Linked DNA regions of Lonchura striata. The protein of the gene in region 1 interacts with the protein of each later gene in a biochemical or structural test. Links are inferred from orthologs where the notes say so. Each region holds a gene or a part of one and is shown on either strand. Other genes may lie near its edges. The genes, in order: WASL and PFN1.

The links.
Region 2: the proteins of WASL (region 1) and PFN1 form a complex in vitro, tested with the Homo sapiens proteins (2 studies listed by BioGRID). The link is inferred for Lonchura striata from reciprocal best matches to the Homo sapiens genes WASL and PFN1.

What each region holds. Positions count from the first base shown.
Region 1 is NC_134607.1:31,747,382-31,755,471, reverse strand, and holds the start of WASL (actin nucleation-promoting factor WASL), read right to left. Parts: upstream 3,335-8,090; 5' UTR 3,257-3,334; coding exon 3,143-3,256; intron 1-3,142. UniProt on the Homo sapiens protein: Regulates actin polymerization by stimulating the actin-nucleating activity of the Arp2/3 complex. Involved in various processes, such as mitosis and cytokinesis, via its role in the regulation of actin polymerization.
Region 2 is NC_134636.1:1,311,115-1,319,098, reverse strand, and holds PFN1 (profilin-1), read left to right. Parts: upstream 1-4,826; 5' UTR 4,827-4,843; coding exon 4,844-4,975; intron 4,976-6,234; coding exon 6,235-6,427; intron 6,428-6,991; coding exon 6,992-7,089; 3' UTR 7,090-7,220; downstream 7,221-7,984. Other genes in the region: SPAG7 (sperm-associated antigen 7), read left to right, coding at 1-40, 116-205, 375-531, 648-778. UniProt on the Homo sapiens protein: Binds to actin and affects the structure of the cytoskeleton. At high concentrations, profilin prevents the polymerization of actin, whereas it enhances it at low concentrations. By binding to PIP2, it inhibits the formation of IP3 and DG.

The DNA.
Region 1 (8,090 bases):
AATTATTTAAAGTAATGATTAGTAACTAACCAGAACTTCTGCAAAACTTTTAAGTTGGGCATGACCACAAAAATCATTAATATGCACAGAACTAATCTCATAGCTCCACTTAGTATAAGTATACATAAAATTTTATTTCCACATTATTATTAAAAAGTTATTGAAAACTTTTTACAGGTGGCAAATTTTACACTTTACCTAGATAACAAAGGTCACACACCTGAACGAAAATTAGTTACATGCCTAAAAAATGGGAGTCCTAAAGGGCTTTATGGTAGATACATTCTGTAAATAGTTCTATATCTGGATTCATACTTCAGCCAAATTAACTATAGCTACAGTTTTGACTATTAGCCAGTGGCTTGGTTTTGAAATCCTGATCTGTCATGGGCAAAGGTATTTTAATTGCTTATAGATTCAGATAAACATTTTACAGCTCAGCAAGTGGAGGGAAAAACAAAAGAGTAGAGAAAAAAAATCAATTACCCTCTGTATGTACACTTGCCTACTAGTGAGTTTCTCAAAGTACCAGCAGTAGTCTGCAGAATGGTATCAACCTCAGCAACACAGAGCGACAGCTCTTCACCATTTCCCCCACTCACAGGAAATTTTTCTATCAGGTATCATTACTTAAGATGCCATTGGAACTATGTCCATTTCCAAGTTCGCAGACTGTGAGTACTCAATTGAAGTTATACTACTTGATAAATTCCTTTGCTCTTCCATAGAACAAAAATCATATAGTTGAATCCTCAATGTTATTTCAAAATAGCTGCCTTGTTACCAGTCAGAAACAAAGGAAAGACTGAAATAAATCAGATTCAGAGCACCACATGCTTTCTTAACTAAGCCCTTCAGGCCTGATAGCAGCACTATGGTGCTCATTAAGAGCTCTATAAATTATTACTACAAAGAGTATCTTAAAAGCAGAATTTCATGCCTCAACTTTCGCTAGTGTTCATTGCAGTAGTAATCTAAACGAGAGGTTTAATCAAACAAAACCTAAAATTATGTCAACGTGGCTGATACACATTACATCCAGTAGATTCTCTATGCCCCACAGTGACAGAAACTCCATCTGCAGCATCAAGGCAGCCCAGATATTTAGGGTGATTGCAAGAGCAAGCATTTAGCATTCTACAGAACTTAAATTTTCCTTTCTTAAAAAACAGCACTTACAGTCTGACACTTTACTAATTAGTAATTCAAACATGGGTGTTATGAGATCAAATATCATGAACATTACAGCAAAAAGGCATTTATCAGCACAGCATGTTGAGTCAAGCTGGAAGGTCAAGAATACCATGAGTCCTCTTGGGCTCCAAGAGATACTGTGGTTTCAAGTTAGACAGCCGAGGCTGTTACCATCTCCAGGTTCTCATTCCTGCTTTGCTTAAGACAATGCCCTCCAAGGGGCAGCATATTCAATCTGTTCACTTGTTTCTGAATTTCTGGCTCATGCCACACAGTAAGCCAAAAAAGCCTGGTTAAATACCTTTAGATCTTAAATGCTCAAGTCCTCAAGATTGAGCGGAGAACCTCAACTGTACTAAAATAAGCCTATTATTAACTCAGAGAGCACAATGGGCTGGGGACAAGAGGAAACAACAGACCACAATTTTAAGAACCTCAACTGGAAAGTCATCCAATATTCAGTGTAGATCAGAAGAATGTGTAACTTCAAGCAAGCTGTAAATCCCATGACACCCAGATCCTGTGAAGATATTTACCTCTAGCCTGCTTTCAACATACTATTTATGCAGAAAAGTTGGGAGCTTAACTAGGTGAGTTTTACAGCTGAGTATAACACTTGTCAGTGTTCACCTGACAAGAAAAAAATCAAGTTATAGCAAAGCAAACTGAAAATCAATTTACACACAAATTAATGCACTATTTTTTTTATATTTAGAGAGAAGTTGATACTGTTTTTTTTTCTTTCTTAGCAAACAAGCTGAAGATATGGAATGTTTCCTGAAATTAACTGAGACATTTCCACAATTCTCTACTTTTCAAAACATATACTTTACGGTCATACCTTCTGACACATAACTCAAATTACTGTGACAGCATCTTATCTAACCCACCCCAATGTAAATATTCTCTACTTCCTGTTCCGTTGCTGCATCTTATGTTTTCCTCGCAGCAGTATGATCAACAATACTATTTCAAAGTCCAGAGTTACGTGGAATCAGTACGACTGCACGGATATCCTGCTTTAAGTCAGTTTTAAGTTCATTAAACACCCACCATAGCTTTACAGCAAGTGCCCAACAGTATTTTAAATACTGGACAAAATGCACCAGAATAGTAATTGCTTTGAAAAATACGATTTTTTTAAAAAAGGAGCTTCTTTTCCAGTGAAAGTAGTTATCTTTTGAAGTTTTCAAATAGCTCTTTAATACAGAAAAGTAGTTTTAGTACAGTTTTACACTACATGCAAGAAGGTATTCTAAAGCAAAACTTACTGATAGAGAAATGGGAAAATATGCGGGATTTGAGTACACGGACTTCTTGTTTAGGCTAAGAAAAGTACAGACTAAATCCAAAGTAGGCCTAGCACCGATACGAGTCTTCCTACAACTTCGTCCAACACTGCTTTGTTGCACCGGTGGAGCACCTGAGGTCCGTCCCAGCCTCGTCGAGCAATGGAACTTTTACGCCCCCGACCCGGCGGCCGTTCCTTTGCGGCGGGCTTCCCCTGCAGCGCTGGGTCGGCTGCAGGGCAGCGGGAGTCCCGCCGGCCCCGGCAGCTCCATTCGCCGGTGGACAGCGAGGCGCGGAAGGACGCGCTCACACCGCCGCCCGAGGCGGTCTCGGAGCCGCCTGCCTTGGAAGGGAGGCCGGGCCCGGCGCTCAGGGCCGGCAGCCCCGCCGGAGCGGGCCGGCCGAGGGGCCGCCGCCGTTCATCGCTCCCCGCCCGGCGCTGCGGGCCAGCCGAGCGGGCAGCCAGGCCTGCGAGGGCCGCCCCCCTCCCGACGCCGGGACGGAGCAGGGGAGCAGGATCAAACTTCCGCAGCCGCAACTTCCCAGCGCCCGGCCGGGCTGTCCTCACACGCCCCCGCCCGCCCCGGGCCCCGGCCCGCCGCGCCCCGGTGGGGCGGCCGAGGGTGCCCCAGTCCCCTCTCCCCCCGGCCGGACTTACCACGCATTTCTTGCCGAGGAAGCCGAAGAGGCTCTCGTTCTCCTGCGGGGTGAGCAGCAGCGAGCCCACGTTAGTGACCCGCCGCTGGGGCTGCTGCTGCGGGGCGCCGCTCATGGCCGGGGCCGGCCCGGCGCTGCCCTCGCCGCCCTGCGACCGATGGCGCCCGCGGCCCCTTCCTCCCCTTCCTCCTCCGCCGCCGCCGCCGGGGCCTCACAGCAGCCGCATCGCGGAGCCTCCCTCGCGGGGCCGGGGAAGGAGGGAGGAGAAGAGGGGCGGCGGGGAGGGTGCGGGGAGGGGGGCGGTCGGGAAAGGGGTGCCGGGCGGCGGTAGCGCCGCGCCGGAGCCGCTCCGCGCCGGGGCCGCTCCCGATCGCTCCCGCCCCTAAACTTCCAACTCCGGCCCGGCCCCGGCGGCCGCGCGATCCAACATGGCAGCGGGGGCGGGCGAGACCACGGCGCGCGGCAGCCAAGGGGGAGCCCGGCGCGCGGCCGCCGCGACCATGCGCCGTGCGGGGGGAGGGGGGGGGGGAAGGCGTCGCCTTCCGCGCCCGCCCCCTCGGTACCTGCCGGGCGGGCGGTGCCGGCGGGGGCGGGAGGAGAGGCGTGATGGGAGCCGGGAGAAAGAACGACGAGAAGGTGACGGAAAGGAGGCGCGGTCGCTGTCCCGGGGCCGTGGGAACCGCCGGGGCGCCGTGGAGGGCAGTGCCGCTCGGGGCTCCGGGCTGGGCTCGTGGGGAGCTCGGGTCCATGGGAGAATCGCCCCGAGCTGAAGGGGCCCCACAATATCTCCTGCCCGCGGGGATGCGGGAACCGGCGTGTGCTGGAAGCCCTTCAGCTGTTAGTGGAGCCTGGTGTAATTTGTAACCCAAAGTCTTTTCTGGTTTTTTGGCAGAAAGGACGCTGCTGCCCGCGCAGGTTGCCCGGCCGGGTGTGGCTGTGCGCAGCCATTGGGGAGGCGGGCGCGGCTGTCACCCCGCCGGCCAAGCTGCCCGCCGCAGGCTGGGGCGAACAGTAGGCACTTCGCGCTCTCCAGGGGCCAGCCGTGAGGAGAAATCATGTCTACAATCAACAGCCTTTGTCAGCCACGTTTCTCTTCCCCCTGCTTCTCTCCATGTGGCAGCGGTAACCAGCTGCGGTGAAGGTTGAAGACATTTCAAAACCCAAAGACCCAAAGCAGTGCTGCTTATACTCAGCTTTCAGCTGAACAAAAGTAATGTTCTCGTTTCTCATGTGCAAAGGTGGAAAACAGATATCAAAGTGAGCAGCACCTTGCTAGTTTTCTGTGGTTTTAGGTGAAGAGTGTGTCTCATTCTCTGATCAATTAATTGTGTGGGAGGTGCTAGGTGAAAGGGGGAAGGTCCCCCACTGTAATTGCTATACATTGTACAGAAGAACTGAAGAAGTACAAGAGGAAACAAACCAGGGAAGAGAGGAGAAAAAGCTGGGAACACAAGTTTTTATATGATGCTGTGGTGACTTCGTATCTTCCTAAAGATCAGGCAGGGAGAAGATGGCAGCCCCTTCTGCTCTACTTACAGGCCCTTTTGTCTGTACTTAAGAGCTTGTAACTGTGTCTAAAAGTGTAAGGAAGGGAGAATATGGAAGAAAATCCTGATTTTACACCATAAAATAGTTTGAAATGTGTGCATATACAGGACTCCTCAATCTGCAGGCCTCTCAAAAGTGACTCTAGTCTTACTGTAAAGGAAGACCAGTAGGAACCAAGTGCTTCTAAAGCATTTATCAGCAATCCTAGATTCTTCAGTTTTACATACTTTCTGTAAAGTACACACTTTCTGTGTAAGTCTGTATGTATTTTAGTGGGAAATGCTTAAGCTATAAAATATTGGCAGTGTTTCTTTCATTGCAAATGTATGTAAAAAGGTAAAACACTTGAAAGCATTTTACAAGACAGTGTTTTGTGGGTTTTTTTGTGGGTTTTATTTTTCTGAGGTTTTTTTGTTTGTTTCTTTTATTTCATAAACTAAATAATTATTGTCTAGCTGAAGCCATTTTTGGGAAATTTACATGCCTTCCTTGCTTGTGGTGTAAATAACAAATATAGTACACTGTCAATGGGTATATGCTGGTATTGTCCTTATCTTCTAATCACTTGTATTCCTTGATTATTTTTTTCTCTCTAAAAACTTTGGATGTTCCTGTGTAGATCTTGCCATACTGCCTGGGTGTTACAACTGATGCATTTTGCTTCATACTGTTCTTTTGAGACCAGCTGGCTGGTAGTTATTCTTAAGGGCCTTTTAACCTTCAGGCTTTATTGTTAGGATTTTGTTTGTTTTTTTAATAAGGGGAGGCAGGAAAGGGAAGAAAATAGGTCTATTTTCAGTCCCTGTGTTTCATTAATTATTCAAAAGCTGTTTCTGTTTTCATATCATAGCTAAGCAGCGAGTCCTGAAGGGAAGGGGAAATACCAATATCTGTCGATACATCCATAGGATTCACTGAAAAATAGATTTTTACCTTTAATATATATGTTTGCAGTAATTACAGCAAAAAACTGCTATTTCTGCATAAAATATCCAATTTGAAGCAAAGTTCTCTCAAAGAAAGCCACCGAATAGGGTTACCTGTCTGTGTTTTGAAGATGTAGGAGTGCTCGTGCTGACTTAGGGCAATTGCTGTTTATTGGAGGCTATCCTCTGGATTTTTCACTGTGCTACTTAGGGTCCAAATTGTGTTACCTATTGCTGATGTCTATGAGCTTCTTGGGAAGCTTCTCTTCTTTCATATTTTTTCATTTCAGGATACCAGTTCATAGCACCAAGGTACTGAAATCCATTTGAAATTGCATAATGTGTGTCAATATAAGTGTCTTGATTTCAAAGATCTGTATTATAAATATGTTATTTAATAAATAGATTTTATTATCCTTGTCAGAGTTACCTTTGACAGAAAATTGAATTTTGTCTTTAAATGTGAACCTCTACTGTAATAGTTCATACTTTGAGTTTCACAGTTTAAATATTCACACGATTTCAGAAGTAACATTCTACAATTTAAGATGGAGTAAGAATGTGAGGAAAACTTGCTACCTAAAGTTAATTTTTCTAGTACTATGAATCATACATTGAAGATTTTATTAATGACTGAACTATATAAGTGAAAAAAAAATTGTTTTCCAAGTATTTATTTTTTAGTAGAATCACTGCATTTCCCAAGTCTTGATCTTGTCACAGTAATGGTTTTAGGTCATGGTTTGGTTTTCTGGTTTTCCATAAAATAAAGAGACAGTTAATTACACCAAAGAACAAGCAAGGGTAACAGAGAATATGCCTTTCCATGGGAAAAAAAAAAAAATTCCTGCCATCTCTTCCATCTCATGTTATTTGCAGTGACAAGTAGGATGGTCTGGGAAAAGTGCAAACCTTGCTGCAGCAACCACAAGAGCAGGGCTGGGGGAGATCAGGAGTGAGAACATAGGATTACTGTGACCATGCAGGAGGGGTATGTCAATAGGGTAGCCTGGGAATGGACAAAAGTGAAGCAAGCTGCCTTTCCCTCAATACCCTTTTTGGTTGGGCCTGTAGAAAACACCAGTCTCCTCACTGCAAAACAGCTTCTGGTAACTGAAAATGAGGAACTGTCTTTGTGATTGGAAGTGCGTTTGCAGCTGTGAAGACACGAGTTCTCTTCTTCGGGTAAATAATATTTTTCTTAACGTAGACCCCATTGAAGAGGATTGGGTTTGCACTGTTGTTAAATAAATGTCAAATAACATATTAGTTATTTTACTGATAATGGCCTCATTCATTTCTGCTCTTTGTGTTCTGAGCCTTTGAAGTTGAGGAATTGCAGCCCTGGGAAGTACCCCCTACAGGTAACTGAATCATCTATTAAGTTAGGGTTCATTTCAAATTCAGTCACTGTATTTCCTTTCTCAAAAATTTTGCATTATCTGTTTCAGATGAGGAATAGTCTGGAACTCCTATGGTGTTTTATTTTCTCTATATTGAATTTGTATGCTGTAGATGTCAATAACAGAACGACAATTTAGCAATAAAAGTTGCCAAAGATGATGGTTAAGTTTTATTAATTGGTCAGTAAAGCCTCTGCTGATTCCATGTGGATGTGGAAGTGTGTCAGTAGGAAGCAGCTTCCCCCTTGGTGGGCAGGCTGTGCAGCAGAGTGTCCTTGCCGCAAGAGTGAGCAGGCTGCAGCCTGAGAACCAGTGCTGTGGTACAATAAGTTCTTTCATTTCTTGCACGAATTCTGCCTTAGGTGCCAGCTAGAACTTTTCCTGTAGTGCCCATTGTGTATGTCATTTGTTTTTTTTCTTGCCCTCATTTTTGACATCAGACTACTTACTTAAATAAAAGTAATTTGTGCCCTTCCAGTTTACTCAATAAAGGATAAGATTGGTTTTGCTTTGGACATAGAATTGTACTTTCGAATTATGAGGATATCTAGCTCTTTTCAGGAGCTCCTCAGCAATTCCTTTGTGGCCTGAAACATCAGATTATATTGCTCTCTTTTTCAAAACTGTGAGGAAGATGGACCAAAAACATACTGGAATTTGAGATGTCTCCCTCTCCTCTTACTTATTGATCATTGCCTGCAGCAACTATGCAACACTTCTATAGCTGCTCTGCAAATTAGAGGAAAACATTTTTTTTCCCCAGCTCAGGTAGCATCTAACCTTGCATTAGAGCTCATCTTCAAAACTGTATGGCACAGTTTTTTAAAACACTCTTTATTCTCTTTTCTTGGTTTATAACTCAGTAAAGGTATGACTTCTTGAATTTTACACTCAGCAATAACCATGAGTGGAGTAAATAAGTTACTCTTGTTTTATTTGCAGGTATTAAAGGGAATATTTATTCCTTCCTGTAAGCTTCCTGACAATTTTTGAATTCAATGAATAAAATCCCCCTTCAGCCATTAGTCAGCCACCATGGAGCTCAAGAACTTCACCAGTTAAAAGAAGCAAA
Region 2 (7,984 bases), on another chromosome or scaffold:
AGATGACGAGGACAGTCGCTATGTAATGGTGTTCAAAAAGGTGGGGGATGGCGGGAGACGCTCCGGGGGAGACCGGGGGAGGCGAGGGAACACAGGGTGACGCCGCTGTCCCCAGGAGTTCGCGCCGTCGGACGAGGAGCTGGAGGCGTATCGGCGTGGGGAGGAATGGGACCCGGCCCGGGCTGAAGAGCGGCGGCGCCTCCGGGTAGGCGGGGCTCAGTGGGATTTAATTGGGATGTGGGCGGGGCTCAACAGGGCGTGGCAGGATGGGTGGGGCACGGCTGCATGGTGGAGGCGGGGCTTACACGGGTGTGGCACGGCCTGGGTGGGTGTGGTGCGGTGGGCAGGGCTTGCTGCTGACCCCTCCCCTGCAGGAGCTGGCGGCACAGCAGGAGGAAGCGGAGCTTGAGCGCGGTCCCACCCCCCCGGGGCCCCCCAACGACTACAAGGACAAATACCGGCACCTGATCGGCTCCGACGCCGCCAAGGCCGCCGCCCGCACCATGGAGGCCAACAAGGCGTACGGCTGCGGTGAGCAGGGGGTCCCGCGGGGCTGCTGAGCCTCAGCCCAAAACCTGGGCTGTCCTCGGGGCGCTGGGGGGGTCCTGAGGGCGGTCACCAGCTGGATCTCTCCTGTGCCCCCCCAGTGCCGGTGGCCAACAAGCGGGACACGCGCTCCATCGAAGAGGCCATGAACGAGATCCGGGCCAAGAAGCGGCTGCGGCAGGCGGAGGACGAGGGCGGGGCCGGGGGGGGTGCCGGGGGGCCCGGTGTGTGATGGGGGTGGTGGGGGGGGTACCCCCGGGGGTATTTAACAGCGGGGGGAGGGTGGCGGGGATGCAGAGGGGGTGATAAACCTCCTCATCTCCTCTCCTGGTCCCCATGTCTCTTTTTGGGGGATGGTTGGGGTGAGGGGGGCACCCCCACGTCCCACATTGTGTGTGCGTGCGTCCCGCTCCCCAGACAAAGGAGCTCGGGAGCTCCTGGTACTTTGCAGAGCTTACTGGGGGTGCGGGCAGCCCTCTGGTGGGGGTCCAGCGTGGGCCCTGCTGCTCTTCCCCCTCCTTCTTGGCCTTGGGGTTTGGGAATCTGCCCCCTCCCAACTTGGCTTTGTCCCCCAGCGTGTCCTCAATCCTGGGAGGGATGCGAGCTCAGTGGGGCGATGTGGGGGTGATTCAGGGGCCAGCAGACACAGGGGCTTTGGGGAAGACGGACAGCAGACGCGGGACACGCGGGACACGCCTGGGAGGTGACACGGGGACATGAGCTTGCACGAGGGCTGTGCGTGAGGTTTTCACACAAGGCCTCTTCCCGAGGAGCCTTTTCCCAAGGGTTTGCATGAGGATTTGCCGTGCACTCACACCCGAGTGGACGCAGAGAGCCCAGTGCTTTCAGAGATTTGCAGGAGGGTTTGCACAGACTCAGCCTGGATGGATTCAGTGGTCGGGATTTTCACAGCGGTGTGTGTGAGTTTGTGTGCGCAGTCACACCTGGCAGCCTCTGCTGCGGCAGGTTTTCCCTGCACCCACAGCAGGATGGACTCCGTGACGAGGGAGTTACCCAGGGGTTTGCGAGGGGTCACTTGAGGATCAGACCTGCGTGGACTCGGTGCTGGGAGCTGCACGGGGAGCTGCACGAGGATTCAGAGCGCTCACCCAGGTGGACTCGGCGATGGGTCTGATCTGGTGGACCTCGAGCAGGAGGCAGTTGTGTGCCCACAGCCGTGGCCGCCTGTGCGGTGCCCTTCGGGTCGGTCACTGCCAGGCCATAGCCCAGCACCTGGATGCCCACCTGTGCCAGGCATCACTTCCAGCTTTCCAGTGATCTCTGCTGTGGGGAAACAGCGAGCAGTGTGCAGTAGATGCAGCAATGTGGCCCAGTCCCCTGGGGGGTAGCAGAGGGATGGTGACCACCCTGCCGGCCCTGGGCACAGCCTTGTATGAGCTGTCAGTGTCCCCAGCTGCCCTCCCCGTGCCTCCCAGTCTGCTCCAGTTCACCCCGATGCCCTGCAGCACCTCCTGGTCCTCAGTGTCACTCTCCTGCTTCCCAGTCCCCTCCCAGTGCCTCCCAGTTCCATCAAAGTCCCTCCCAGTTTCATCCCAGTGCACACCAGGAGAGTCCTTGACGAAGCTCTGGTGGGGCTGTCCCCCTGTGATGAGGCGCTTGGGGTCCAGGGGGGGATTTGAAGCCCAGGTTGGATTTGCCCTTGCGGCAGAACTCAGAGGTTGCCACGTCCATCCCAATGACCACCTTGTCCAGTCCCCAGCCTGCTTTCAGAACCTCCCACGTCCATCCCAATGACCGCCTTGTCCAGTCCCCAGCCTGCTTTCAGAAGCTCCCACGTCCATCCCAATGACCACCTTGTCCAGTCCCCAGCCTGCTTTCAGAACCTCCCACGTCCATCCCAATGACCACCTTGTCCAGTCCCCAGCCTGCTTTCAGAACCTCCCACGTCCATCCCAATGACCACCTTGTCCAGTCCCCAGCCTGCTTTCAGAAGCTCCAGTGCTGGAAGTGCACACAGGGAGTTGGGCCTAAATCCCCCCAGAATCCCCAAATCTCCCTGAACCCCCACCCCGGCTGAGACAGACCTGGGGTGTCCAGGCCCCAAATCCCTCCTGATCCCCCAAATCCCTCCCGAGACCCCCATACACGAACACGCTCAGCGCTGACCCTTGGCCAAGGGGACCTGGGCATCCAGGCCCCAAGACCACCCCCTCCAAATTGCTCTCCCACCATGGGCAGATGGACCCTGATGTTTGGGTGCCCCCTCCACCTTCTGCCCTTTCCTACCCTTCCCCCACTGCCCCATAACTTTTCTCCAATTACCAGAAATTCACGATGTGACCCCAGAACCCAACCCCATCCTGGGGACCGTCACTGCCTGCCCTGGGACCCTCCATGTCCCCGGCACTCCTGATACGTTTCACCACAACCCTGAGCTTCCTCCAAGTCCCTGCACACCCCTGTGACACCGCCCCCCACCCCAGCATCCCCCTCCAAGCCCCTGGCTGTAAACAAATCCACCTCCAGTGTCAGATTCCCATGGGAATCCAGGATCTCCTGGGCTGTGATCTCTTCGGGATGGACGTGGCTGTGGGATAGGAAACCTAAGGGTCAAGGCCAAGATCCTGGGGGTCCCAGCCTGACCCCGGACTCCGCAGAGCTCCCATGGGGAGAACCCCCAAGTCCAGGTGCCGGGAGCTGGCCCTGTGTCCCCCCCATCCCATGGGGGACCCTGAGCGAGCCCAGACCCCCCTCCCCAATACCCAGGACACTCAGAGGGGCCCAGGTGGGTCCGGGCCCTTCTCACCCAGTGCTGCCCCTGCCCAGGGCCCTGCCCTGCCCCCTCCCCCCGGGATTATTTATCCCTTCCCCTTCGCCCCTCCCTCCTGGAGGGACCGTGGTCACAGTCAGCCCCCCCTGGGGTCACCGGGGTGGGGCCACAGCAGCCCGGGGCTGGTGGCACTTGGCGATGGTCCCTAAGCGTCCCCCCCGGGATTGGGACCATTGTTAGCCCCCCTCAAGGGTCACTATAACACGACCCCCAAGCGGCGGGGCTGGAGCGCCGCCTGAAGGCCCTGGGGGGAACAGCAGCAGCCACAAGGGGAGGGGGCGAACGGGGAAGGGGGGGACACGATTTTGGGGGTGCAGAGGGTCCTTTGTGGGGGGAGTTCAGCCCCTAAGGAGTACCGGGGTGGGGGAGGGGGGAACTCAGCCCCATGGGCCCCACAGCGTGGGGGAGGGGCGGTGGCTTTGACCACTTCCCGGGGAAGTTCTCGCCGGGGGGGGGGGGGACGGGGCCGGTCCTTTTATGGGGGGGTGGGTGAACGGGCACCCTCAGGAGGCCTCGACCCCCCCCACCCCCAACCCAGTCTGGGGGTCCCGGCACCCTCGGCGCCCCGAGGGGGGAGATGGTGCCGAACGCCTCGGCCCGCCCCTTCCCCGTTCTCGACCGCCGAGCCCCTCCCCCACCCCGGGGCAGGAAGTGAAACCGCTGCCCTTCCCCCCTCCCCCCGGAAAGTCCCGCCTGAGTCAAACCGCGACCCGCGGGGGGGAGGGCGAGGGTCCTGCACCCCCAGACACCCACCGAGCTGTCACCCCCCCAGCCACCCCCGCTCGGGGCGCACCGCGGGCCCAGCGCGGGGCGGGGTGTCGCGATAACGGCGTGTATCAGGAGAACCGGGAATCACAATACACAGCGAGAAGGAGCAATAACGAGGGATTCGTTATCAGTCCAGGGGTGTCACGATACCCGTGAGGGTGTCGCGATAGCGGGGGGGAGTCGGGATAACGGGGAAGAGGGGGCACAACAAAGAGTAGGGGTTGAGGTGATGGGGAGGGTCCGAATAATGGAAGCGAGCGTCGCTACACGGAGGGAGTGTTTGAATTTGGATGCGTCGTGATAATCGCGGGACGCAGAGTACGAAGGGTTTGGATTGAGGGCGGCAAGTAAGGGAAGGGTTCCCAGTAAACGGGAGCGCGGCCATCGCAGTAACGGCGGGGCTGGAACAGCGCAGTGGGAGGAGGGTGTCCGGATAACGAGGGAAGGGTCGCAATAACAAACGCCCCCTTCCCCCCAAAACCGCCGCGCGCCCTCCCGGGGCCGGGCGCGCCGGCGGCCCCGGCCCCGCCCCGGCCCCGCCCCGGCCGCGCCCCCGGCCCCGCCCCCGGCCGTCCCCTATGAAAACCGCCGCGCGGCGCCGCCGCCGCTCCTCCGCCGCCGCCGCGCCTCGGTCGCACCGCGCAGGCGCCGCACGAAAAGCCCGCCCCCTCCCCGGCGAAGCCCCGCCCCCCGCGGAAGGCCGCGCCCCCGCGCCCCGCCCGCCCGCCCGCCGCCGCCATGAGCGGGTGGGCGCCCTACGTGGAGACGCTGCTGGCGGACGGCACCTGCCAGGATGCCGCGATCGTCGGCTATCGCGACACCCCCGCCGTCTGGGCCGCCGCCCCCGGCAAGACCTTCGCCAATATCACGGTGAGAGGCCGGGGCTGGCGGGGCTGGGGGGGGGCAGCGCGCCGAGGCGTTTCCCGCCCAAGCGCGCGGAGGGCGGGGGGACCCGGCGGCCTCTGAGAGGCGGGGCCGCCCCCCCCCACCCTCCCGCGACGGGCTCCGGGAAGGACAAAAAAGGGAGAAAAACGCAAAAGCGCCAGCGTGGAGCGCGGCGGGGGGGCGCGGGCGCTGCCCGTGCCCCAGACCCGGTGCCGGGGGAGGGCCGGTGCTGGGGGGGGCCCGGAGGCGGGGGGGGCCCGGCGGCGAGGCGGTCCCCTCCTTAACCCCGCTTCGAGCGTTTTGGGGGGTCGCGGGCGGGCGGGGAAGGGGGGGAAGGGCGAGCACCACGTGTTTCGGCGAGCTCCGTCCCGGCTGCGCATCGCTTTTATTGCACTCCCCTCAGTGGATGGCGGGGGTCTCGGGGGTGGGGGAGCGGAGGAACCCCTCCCCACTTAAAAACCCTCTAAAAATGCGCGGAATGCGGCCACTTCCCGGTGGAGGAGGGGCGGCCGGGGCTTCCTGTGGGGGAGGGGCGGCGCGCGCGCACCCCCTCCCCCCTCCCCACTTCCCCCCACGGAAATGGTGGGGAGGGGGGAAGTTTGGGGAAGCCCGTGGTGGGAAAGGGGTCCTGCCGGAGCCCTGGTCCCTGTCTGGGGGCACGGAGAAGTTACGGGGGTCCCCCGAGGGGCTGCGATGGGGTTCCTTGGGGTCCCCGGGCGTGAGGTCCCCATGCGGTGCTCTGGGCTAAATGTGGTTTGGGGTTTGCTTGAGGAGTCCTTCCTGGGGTTCCTGACCTGTTCTCCCCCGTGGCAGCTGGTGGAAGCGTTGGCCCTGGAGGGTCCCGAGTTTGAGGCGGGGTCATGGGGATCCCTGGATTCTCGGGTGCTCTTGTGGGGACCCCTCGGGGCTCAGGGTTCTCCCGTGGGGACCCTGGCGGGAGTCATGGGGGTTCCGGGACACCTAGGTCCCTTTTATGGTCATGGAGTGGGAGTTATGAGAGTCCCGGTTTGCCGGGTGCCCTACAGGGGCCCTACCTGGGGGTTTGGCATCTGCATTTGGTTTTGGTGGTCCCTGGGTGTGGGCCTTTGGGGTCCCCTTGGCCTGTCCCCACCCCTGTCCAGCCTGCAAAAGCGACAGGCCTTGAGCAGGGGGAGTTACCCCTGCAATCCCCACACAGCCGCACTTCTCACGGGTGGGCTTTGGGGGTCTGGGGTCTGTTGATGGGCTGACCCTTGTACCCACAGCCAGCAGAGGTGGCGGCACTGGTGGGCCCCGAGCGGGGGCCGCTGCTGGTGCAGGGGCTGACGCTGGGGGGGCTGCGCTGCTCCGTCATCCGAGACTCGCTGCTGGTGGAGGGCGAGCACAGCATGGACCTGCGCACCAAGGGGGCTGCCGGAGCGCCCACCTTCAACATCACGGCTGCCATCACCAACAAGAGTGAGGGACCCCCTGCCACCCCTACCCCACAGCCCGTGTTGTCCCCATCGCCCCCCCAGCACACCCCCTGCCATCCCGTCCCGTGTGACCTCCCACCTTCCAAATCGCCAACAAGAGGAATCTCCCTCTGGGAAGACCCTGTCACCCTGTGGCACTGCCCCTGTCACCCTGTGGCACCCCCTGCCCCCCTCCCTGTCACCCTGTGGCACCTGCTGACCAGTTCCTGTCACCACATATGACCCCAAGCCTCCACAGGTGCCTCCCATGTATCTTACGGCATCACAGTGTCGCCCTCCACCTTCCCCAGTGTTACCCTGTGTCCTCTCCCCCACACGGCCACGTCACCTGCCCTGTCACCTGTATCGCCCCTGACCTGCTTCCCGTTAAGTGTCCCCCCTGCCCCTTGACCCAGGTCCCCACAAATTACCCCTTGCTAACTCCTGGTGTCCCTTCATCCCAGCTCCTGCCCCGCTGCCCCCGTGTCTGTCTGGGGTTTGTGGGGCTTGGTGGGGGTTTTGGGAGGCTCGGAGATGACCCCCACACCTTCTTCCCCTACCCCTGCAGCCATCGTGCTGGCCATGGGCAAGGAGGGCGTCCACGGCGGCTGCGTCAACAAGAAATGTTATGAGATGGCCAATCACCTGCGGCGCAGCCAGTACTGAGGGGGCTGGGGGGGACCCCCGGACCCCCAGGGACCAGCAGGAGCCGCCAGGGACCAGCAGGACCCCGTCCCCCACCCCCTTGTCTGCCCCTGATCCCCGCTGCCGGCAGCAATAAAGTGCCCTTGTGGGGAGTCGCTGTGGGTCAGGGATTTCGGGGATCTGGGTGCTTTGGGGGGAACCTCGACATGCGGCAGGGCCGTGGGGTGCGGCTCCGTCCTCCACCCAGGGCGGAGGAGGCTGCCCCGGATACCGGGTCCAAGGGTGCTGCCGTGCCCCAGGGGAACAAAGTCCACGGTGGGGCGGGGGTGACGCCTCGGCAGCCGCCCCACGGCGCTCCCCCTCCCACCCCCCGACTCAGGAGACAAAGTTGGGGGGCAGAGGCTTTATTGGAGGGCTGCACTCATGGGGGAGGCGGGGAGAGGTCAGCTGGGAGTCCAGGCAGCAGCAGGGGGGGACGGTGGGATGGAACAGGCATGCTGGGGGGAACAGAAGGAGAATTGGGGGGCAGGAGCTCCTCTAGATATTCTGGCGAGCTGTGAGGCAGGGCCCCAGGTGTTCGGGGGGGTGGTGTGAGGCAGAGATGGGGACTGGGGAGGTGGTGGGACGGGTTGATGTGGGGCAGAGGTGCAAATGTGGGGGATGGGGTGGGGCACAGGGAGATGGCGGGGCTGATGTGGGGTGAAGAAGGTGGTGTAGGGCAGCGATGGGGATGTGGGAAGGTGATGTGGGGTTGCGGGGGAGATGTGCGGCTGGAGCAGGAGTCCGGACAGGCGGAAGCAGCTTCGGTGCCGTCAGTCGAGTCCTTATAAGGGCAATGTGGTGGCTCTGGCGCTTCCTGTTCCCCCCCCTGCACAACCCCCGGCTGACTCACGGAAAGGGGGAAGGGCCCCGCAGT